2 linked regions of the Arabidopsis thaliana genome follow. The protein of the gene in region 2 interacts with the protein of the main gene of each other region in a pairwise test. Each region holds a gene or a part of one and is shown on either strand. Other genes may lie near its edges. The genes, in order: AT1G21940 and AT4G26770.

Region 1 (4,316 bases), on a different chromosome or scaffold from region 2:
TATAACGATAAACGATGAATCTCACTAAAACGACGGCGTTCCAAGTCGAAAGCAGAGGGAATGTTGAAAGTTAAACTTGATTTTGAATAAGTTTAATTATTGGATCAATTATCCAATAATTAATTATGGCCAAATCCAAGTTCTAGAGTTTTCTCTAGAAATATCATCATTTCCACCTCCTTAAAAGATTCTAGAAATTTTCTAGAATCATCTTCCACCTCCTTAAACATAAAAATCTAGATACTCTAATAGAATAATCTAGATAATTTGAATAATGTAATCTAAATCTTATGTAAGAACTCTCTAGACTTAGGATTAAAATATTTTAGATATTTTGTAGTTTGGAGGCTATAAATACCTCCTCCCCCTCTCAAATGTTGCAATGTTGTGAAGTTATCTTCAAGTTTAAAGCAAAGTAATAAAAGTTATATTTCCTAAAAAACTCTCTCAAAACACTTAAACACTTTCTCCATTACCTCTAAAAGAATTTTACTCTAACAGGGAAGATTCCGGCGAACACAAACTCATCCGACGACGAAGAACCGAAGATAAGCGGAGAAGCAGAGCGAAATCGCTAGGCAGATAGAACCCAACGTAAGTTTCATGTCCGTCTCTTCTCGTAGTCTACGCATCACCACCGGCGCAAACGTGAGTCCAAGCATCGATAAACCGATTCTGATAATCACCACCATAAAGCACATATCGGCCATCTTGTTCAGCTCTGATGCACAGTATAACGCCACGTGTCCGTTCTTCGTCGTCTCCGTTAGATATGAACCGTCGAAACCAGAAGCTCGTTTGCAGATTCCGGTGAAAATGGCGAGCGAAACTGCAAGAAAGAAACGATCGTTTACACGACGAGTTTCTTCTCTTCTCTCACGACCTCCATCTTCGTCATCCATTGCGATCTCGTAGTCTTGCAGGAGAAAATGGAGATTTTGAAACGATGATTGATGAAAAAATCAGAATCCGGGAAAAAGTGAGAAAATTTGTCTCTGAGAGGTTTTGGAGTTTGTTAAAGAGGGAAAGAAGAAGGGTTTATAACCTAACCATGGTTAAAATTTTAACCATGGACCATAGTTTATTTTTTAACCTTGCTTTTTCTCTAACCATGGTTTATAATCCGTACGTGTTGAAAAAGTTTCAAGGAGAGAGGTGATGACTGATGATATTGAGTGGACGAAGGACTTACCTCTTTTGGTCACTGTTAAAAATTGGTTTCTTGAATTACTGGTTACAAAATTTCGTTCGTTGCTGAACCGGAAATTGACAATTTTGGTTACACAGAATTGGGACCAAAAATATCTGCATGGTTTAGTATTTGATCATATAACTACCTATAAAAAGACTAGAAATATTTTATATTGTTAGATAATTGTGAAATTTTGAACAAAAAAAAATGTTAAGGGTTAAATATGGTCTTTTTTACTAAGTTTTATTCATCGGTTTTTCTAAAATGTTACTACTTTGGGTAAACAAAAGTTAAAGCAGTTGCCTGATTACGACACGTTGAACAATGGATTGATCTTATGTAAATTTAATTGATAAAAAAACAGTTCATGACTGCATTTTGCAGCTAATTCCTTAAACATTTTGAGCTAAAATTTGAAACTATCATCAAGAACATGAAGTAATTAGTCTTAATCCGATATCATAAACGGTTCACACACACATCGATTTCTTTGTAAAACTAATTATTGTATTCAGGGATGCGATCCGAAACTTTAACGCATTTTTATCTATGCAAATACAGTATGAAGTGATAAATATTGCAAGTTGTAACTACAATATCAATTAATATTCAGAAAATCTTGTTTAAACCTTTTATTCAAGAAACCAAAATGTTCACAACACAAATCCAAAGAAATAAACGAAAAGCAGATACAGAGCATCCGCGATGGTCTCACTGAACGATCACAGGTCCAAATATTCAAACCTCTAATCAAAGAAACCATAATGTTCAAAACAACAAACCCATCAAAGAAAGAAAAAAACGAAAACTAGATTGTAGATAGAAAGAGAGATGATAAATGTAAGCATCGTCGATGGTCTCACTAAAAGACACAGGTCCATAGTAACGGTGGAAGAAACTCAAGACACACCACTCACCCGGTGACGGAGCAGCGAAGGTACGCTAAGAAAGCAATCGTGAGGACGACAAAAATCAAACCCACGAGCAGCTGCACGTCACACTCTTCTCGTACTTTTCTCATCTGTTCCAGTTCCACCACCATCGGAGCAACAATGATCTTGAGAATCACAAGCATAAAAGCAAGATGCGCCCACAAGTTGAACTCCATCGCCCAAGAATACGCCACGTGTCCGGTCATCGTCGGGTTTGGATCTGAGCCAGCAGCTGCTCTTTTGCAGACTCTTGTGGACAGTTCAAGCAACACTGCGACGACAAAACGACCGTTCAATCTACGAAGCTCTTCACGTCCCTGTCACGATTCTCTTCACGTGGCTCAACAACTCCTTCCATGGCGAGAGATTCTTGCAGGAGAAAAGAAAAACAAGATTTTGAGACGAAGATTGTGAAAATGAAAACAGATTCGGGAGAGAAAATCTATATAATAAGGGTTTTTGGAGTTTATAAGCATAAAATGTTTCTTTTATTTAAATTAACCACGGTTAAAGTTTGACCGTGGACCATGGTTAATTGGTTATAGTAATCGTACGTTTTCTAACGGGACGTGAGTCTTGATGACTGTGTTGAAAGTTAAACTTGATTTTGAATCAAGTTTAATTATTGGATCAATTATCCAATAATTAATTATGGCCAAATTCAAGTTTTAGAATTTTCTCTAGAAATATCATCATTTCCACCTCCTTAAAAGATTCTAGAAATTTTGTAGAATCATCTTCCACCTCCTTAAACATAAAAATCTAGATACTCTAATAGAATAATCTAGATAATTTGAATAATGTAATCTAGATCTTATATAAGAACTCTCTAGACTTACGATTAAAATATTTTAGATATTTTGTAGTTTGGAGGCTATAAATACCTCCTCCTCCTCTCAAATGTTGCAATGTTGTGAAGTTGTCTTCAAGTTTAAAGCAAAGTAATTAAAGTTCTATTTCCAAAAAAACTCTCTCAAAACACTTAAACACTTTCTCCATTACCTCTAAAATAATTTTACTCTAACAAAGTGGTAGCAGAACTTGAAGATCCTAAAGATGGCGAGTAACAATGTTCCCTTCCAAGTCCCGGTGCTCACAAAGAGCAACTATGATAATTGGAGTCTACAAATGAAGGCTATCCTAGGAGCACATGACGTGTGGGAGATAGTCGAGAAAGGTTTCATTGAACCGGAGAATGAAGGTAGTCTTTCTCAAACTCAAAAGGATGGTTTGAGAGACTCAAGAAAGAGAGACAAGAAAGCTCTCTGTCTAATCTATCAAGGATTAGATGAAGATACGTTCGAGAAGGTCGTTGAAGCTACGTCGGCGAAAGAAGCATGGGAGAAGCTTCGAACCTCTTACAAAGGTGTCGATCAAGTCAAGAAAGTACGTCTTCAAACTCTAAGAGGAGAATTTGAAGCACTACAAATGAAGGAAGGTGAACTCGTCTCCGACTACTTCTCAAGAGTGTTGACGGTTACTAATAACCTTAAAAGAAACGGAGAGAAGCTAGATGATGTGAGAATCATGGAGAAAGTTCTTAGATCATTGGATCTAAAATTTGAGCATATTGTCACCGTCATTGAAGAAACAAAAGATTTAGAAGCTATGACAATAGAGCAACTTCTTGGGTCATTACAAGCTTATGAAGAAAAGAAGAAGAAGAAAGAAGATATCGTCGAACAAGTCCTCAATATGCGAATTACAAAAGAAGAAAACGGCCAAAGTTACCAAAGAAGAGGTGGTGGTGAAGTACGAGGACGAGGTCGTGGTGGATATGGAAATGGACGTGGTTGGAGGCCACATGAAGACAACACAAACCAAAGAGGTGAAAACTCATCAAGAGGTCGTGGGAAAGGACACCCAAAATCAAGATACGATAAATCAAGTGTCAAATGCTACAATTGTGGGAAGTTTGGACATTAGGCTTCTGAATGTAAAGCTCCTAGCAACAAAAAATTTGAGGAGAAGGCCAACTACGTTGAAGAAAAAATTCAAGAAGAAGACATGTTATTAATGGCTAGCTACAAGAAAGATGAACAAGAAGAGAATCATAAGTGGTACCTCGATAGTGGTGCAAGTAATCACATGTGCGGGAGAAAAAGTATGTTCGCGGAGCTTGATGAATCGGTGAGAGGAAATGTGGCTTTAGGAGATGAATCGAAGATGGAGGTAAAAGGTAAAGGAAACAT
Region 2 (5,229 bases):
TTCGGTTGTCAAAGAAAGCTTCTCAAAGCTTGACACCTCAGAAGATTCTGCTGGAGCAGCTCCACTATTAAAGACCCTTTTAGAAGGAGTGGAGATGACTGAGAAACAGCTTGCTGAGGTAAATATCGAGAAATGTAATTATAAGACCTTAAGTAAGCAATGCAGATGAGACCGGTTAAACATGTGTGCCGCTGCAGGTATTTAAGAAATTTGGTATGGAGAAGTATGATCCTATAAACGAGCCATTTGATCCAAACAGACATAACGCAGTGTTCCAAGTCCCTGATGCTTCTAAGCCAGAAGGCACAGTTGCTCATGTCTTGAAGGTAAATATATAAAGCTTGCTCAATTCTTTGTCTCTTTATTTCATATTGTATAGTCTTAAATACCAATTAGTAATGATGGGTGTCAATATGTGCAGTCTGGATACACGCTGTATGACCGAGTTATAAGACCAGCTGAGGTTGGTGTTACCCAGGGAGGAGAGAACCAAGAAGAAAAGAAAGAGTCTGATGCTTAAGAAGAAGTCAGCTGGTTTTCATAAATTTTGTTACGGTTCTATGTTTCCATTAACATCTTCTCGAGTCTTCGAGTCATAGTTTTCTTTTGTGGTTTGGTTATTCATTAGATGAACAAGATCTCCCATAAGTTGCTGGACATGGCATTTGCAGGGGAAATCCTGCTTCTGTGTCTGTTTTCTCTATCTCCATGCTATAATTGAACGAGGAAAATATCATTTTACATCTCTTCTACTCGCACACTATTACCAAGTCTCTGTTTGATTAGTTAAATCAGATACAAATCAAGGTTTTACATGGTCTGATACAACCAGAAACTAACCATAGAGAAAGAAGCTGAAAACAGAGTCACAAAACTTGCACTCACTATTTAAAACCTCCCTTGCAACTTATGTTGAAGAATGTCTCCGAGCTTTTCATAAAGCATTTTCTGCTCCTCGTGTCCCAGGCTCCTCGATATCTGCAGGTATAATACAATCAATTATTTACAATGCCTCCGTATTCTTGGCTTATATGATGATTCTTACCTGGTCTAGGATCATCTCGACACTGTAGTCCCGATTAACAATGAAAGATTGGATGTAGATGTATGCGAAAACCGCCATAACCATCTGCATTTAGGCAACAAGATTCGTTTAAAACGATGCAAAGATCATATTGCACTTTTCGACGTTAGTGACTCTTACTTGGCAATCCATTCTGTCAGTAAATCCTCCATGTCCTGGTATGCTGTCTCCGAAATCCTGTCAAAGCGACATAAACTAGTAAATATTTGTTCTTGGATCTGTAGATACAAAACCTTTTAATGTTTGAAAAATGTGTTAACCTTGATCTTGAAAGCTCTTTTGAAACCGCTTGCGAAGAAGCCACCAAAAGGCGCCATAATGGATGCGAATAGACCGAGAGAAAAAGCATGCCATTGGACAGGCAGGGTCGAGATCCCTTTCCATGGAGACTGTTAAGCAAAGTTCACAACGGAGCTCAGTTTCAAAACAAGACAACATCATCGGCTGGTTTTCACGAGAGGACAGTTAATTGCTTACAAATGGAGTAATCCAAGAGGGAAATGGGTAATACTCTGGCCTGAAGAGAGGGCCTGGATCACAATGAAGCCAACCAGTTGATAAATCCTGCAAAAGATATGCAACACAAGGATGAAGTAAAGGCCGAGACAAAATATTGTGATGGAGATATCACTTTTTGTTACCTTCCTTGGACATGTAAGCCATTGGAACTGGCCTAAGACATTAGCAAACTGTTGTACGAAGCAGATAATAATCTATCAGTCTTGAGACCAAAAGAAAGAGTTACGAACGAATGAATAAATGATAGAAGAAGGTTATTACAATAAATGCAGAGATTATAGTTGCAACTGATGCTCCGATGAAACCTTCCCATGTTTTCTTTGGAGACAACTTGATGAGCGGAGTTTTCCCGAAATAGAAACCGAAGAAGTAAGCTGCTACATCGTTCATAGCAATCAGTGCTGCTGGTAGAAGAAACCTGCATATTTAAAAGAAATTAGCACTCGGGAAAACTATTATGCTTCAGTGGATATATATAAGAGTCCATTGTACCAGAAGATCCCTTCAAAAATATTGGCGACGGTGAAAGAAGATTGAGTAAAGACAACGATAAGGATCATATGTGTCCAAGCGTATTGCCCAAACTGATACTTATACATCTTATTCTTCAATGTAAGGATAAACCATATGAGACCTGAATCCAACTTAAGCTGTTAATAAATCAAGAAAGAGAGTATTGTTTTTGTGAAGAAAAAAGAAACAGACAAACCTGCGATGTACAAGAAGTAGCAAATAACCATCTGGTACTTGATAAGACCACTCACAAGCTTGTATATGAATCTATCTGAAGAAACCGTGTTGACTAGCTGCTGTTGAATGATGCGTCCATAGACAAACAACATAGCCGTGAAGAAGAAGTGCCAATTCAAGAGCCAGAAACCGGGTAAGCGACGTTCTTCATGAGCTCTTCTGCGAAGAAAGAAGAGCTCTTTGGCCATGAATATCTGTATAACCACAACCATAGCCCAAATGTAGAGATGACCCATGTAGATTATAAACACAACTCCACCGAGCATCCAGAGAGATGAGCATGTCCTTATCCACATTGATCTGTACTTGTTCTTATCACCAAGTAACAAATTGCTTACTCTGCTTACATTGCTTCTGTTCACCTCAGCTAAATTCTGATCAATATTGAAAAAGACAATCAAATTTTGGATTCAACCGGAAAAGAGAGTATGACATTGTATAGATACCTCGCTTGATCGCCTGCGGTGTCGAATGCGAGCTGTTGGAGAGCTAGGAGTATAATTGTAATCCCTTGGTGAATTAGGAATGTTGGGATAATGGTTATCTCTCTGGTTATTAGTATTCATTCGAGACGTTGGTGTAGTAGGGTAACTAGTATCCCTTAGCTTTCTAATCCGTGGAGAATTTGGACTGAGATCTTTCTCCATTGCCATTGAGATCCCTAGGAAATGCTCTCAGTTCCTGGATTGAGTTCTTGAAATTCAGTTAATCATGATGATCTGGGTTTCTTTATACATCCGAGGAAATGAATTTGGGGTTGATCTATAATTTCAAAATGTCAACCATAACTCGAGCTTATACACGTCTTAATGAAACACACACATTGATATCTGATGAGAGATTACTTGTGTAACAAGCATATAATAGAGGATTTAGATTTGAATGTGTAAGCCTAGAAATCTAAATGATTCATCAAAGCAAAACGTGATGATTCACATACAAAGGATAAATTTCATAAGTGAACATTGCAACAAAATGGGATCATGACAAGTAGAAAAAAGAGAATGAACTTACATTAACGAAAACGTGGTGGGATGATGGTGATTGAAAATGCGAAACCCTAATTAATGAAAAGAAACGTGAAGAAAGAAACTCAAAAGGTGAGGGAAGAAGGAGGAGGAGGAAGGTGGTGGATGAGCACTTAGCGGTGAGGTTTCATCAAATCATCGGAAGAGAGAACCAATAAACTATTCATGTCGCTGCTTCATGTTTAAACCCGGAATGAGTGACACGTGTTGTCTTGATCTGTTTGGGCTGGGTCAGATATTTAAGCCCATTAAGGAAAGCCTTTTAACTATTCAGACATGAGCATGAGGAGTCAACGAGGTCTGTGAGATCAGTGGTCAAATCAGTAAATAACGCGAAAAGACAGGGTCTCTCACCTTTTTGCTGTTGTTTTTTCCTCATTAATTATTGAGTTCCGTAAAATGGGTCCCACTTTTCCCATTTCCCAACCTCCATAACCAAAGTTGGAGATTTCTCTGTTTCCTATGCTCTCTCTCTCTCTTACTCTCACAGTGACTATTCGTCGCTTCAGATCTAAAAGAGAGGAAGATAAACCATTTGGATTCAATATCGATTAAGGTAAGAAAGCCATCTTCTACTTGTTGGATTCGATTAGTTTCATTTCAGCTCATTGCCTCTTTACTTCTTCAATGTTGATTTCTTGCTTTGGCTTTGGTTTTATCACCAATGCTGTTTGATTTCTTTGAAGTTCCTTTCGAGCTTTTCTTGAGCTTAGTTTCACATTCTTAGCTTCACTAAGTTCTTTGATGTGTTTTTGTTCCCAAGTTCAAAATGTTGTTTCTGATTCAATTTGGTTTTCTAAAAAAGATTGCAACTTTGGTTTCTTTTAGTGTATAGTTAGTTTGGATCTTCACTAAATATGTTCGTTGTTTCTACTTTTGTAGGAAACCTTTTGACTTCACAAGAATGGCAGTGACAGAAGCAGAAAATCCTCTTCTTGGTGAAATCACTTGTGGCACCTTACTACAGAAGTTGCAGGTAGATTTCGCAACATACACACTTATCCTTTTAATATATGGTTCCACAAACTCAATGTACAAACTTGTTACAGGAAATCTGGGATGAGGTTGGGGAGAGTGATGAAGAACGAGACAAACTGCTTCTACAGATTGAGGAAGAGTGTCTGAATGTTTACAAAAAGAAAGTTGAGCTAGCCGCAAAATCTCGTGCAGAGCTTCTTCAGACTTTGTCAGATGCCACTGTTGAACTTTCCAATCTCACAACTGCTCTCGGGGAAAAAAGCTATATCGACATTGTAAGTAATCTCACGTCTTACAAGTGGTAAAGAGATGAGATGGTTACAGTGTAGTGTGATTCAATGTCTTTGTTTCCATTGCAGCCTGATAAGACTTCAGGAACGATCAAAGAACAACTTTCTGCAATAGCACCTGCGCTTGAACAACTTTGGCAACAGAAAGAGGAAAGGGTCCGGGCATTTTCTGATGTACAATCACAGATTCAGAAGATATGTGAGGAGATCGCTGGCGGATTGAACAATGGACCTCATGTGGTTGATGAGACTGACTTGTCTCTAAAGAGATTAGATGACTTCCAGAGGAAACTCCAAGAGCTCCAGAAAGAGAAGGTAAAATATTAGTTGGGATATGGTTATGTGTGGCCTATGTTCAAACCAGAACTAAAACTGCTTTGTGTTTGAGCAGAGTGATAGGTTACAGAAGGTGCTCGAGTTTGTGAGCACGGTGCATGATCTATGTGCCGTCCTTCGTTTAGATTTCTTAAGCACTGTCACCGAAGTTCATCCGAGCTTAGATGAGGCAAATGGTGTTCAAACCAAGAGCATTAGCAATGAAACACTTGCAAGGTTGGCTAAGACTGTCTTGACTCTTAAA

What was found.
Region 1: the proteins of AT4G26770 (region 2) and AT1G21940 interact in a protein complementation assay, tested with the Arabidopsis thaliana proteins (2 studies listed by BioGRID).

The regions. Positions count from the first base shown.
Region 1 is NC_003070.9:7,714,646-7,718,961, forward strand, and holds AT1G21940 (uncharacterized protein), read right to left. Parts: upstream 2,331-4,316; coding exon 2,171-2,330; intron 917-2,170; coding exon 525-916; downstream 1-524.
Region 2 is NC_003075.7:13,480,357-13,485,585, reverse strand, and holds AT4G26770 (Phosphatidate cytidylyltransferase family protein), read right to left. Parts: upstream 3,523-5,229; 5' UTR 3,368-3,522; intron 3,035-3,367; 5' UTR 3,007-3,034; coding exon 2,800-3,006; intron 2,728-2,799; coding exon 2,313-2,727; intron 2,238-2,312; coding exon 2,096-2,237; intron 2,022-2,095; coding exon 1,865-2,021; intron 1,774-1,864; coding exon 1,726-1,773; intron 1,649-1,725; coding exon 1,562-1,648; intron 1,474-1,561; coding exon 1,345-1,473; intron 1,262-1,344; coding exon 1,205-1,261; intron 1,130-1,204; coding exon 1,046-1,129; intron 979-1,045; coding exon 889-978; 3' UTR 643-888; downstream 1-642. Other genes in the region: AR192 (Co-chaperone GrpE family protein), read left to right, coding at 1-118, 198-326, 422-520; MAP65-2 (microtubule-associated protein 65-2), read left to right, coding at 4,286-4,357, 4,431-4,634, 4,719-4,964, 5,041-5,229. UniProt on the Arabidopsis thaliana protein: May be involved in the synthesis of minor phospholipids and in modulation of IP3-mediated signal transduction.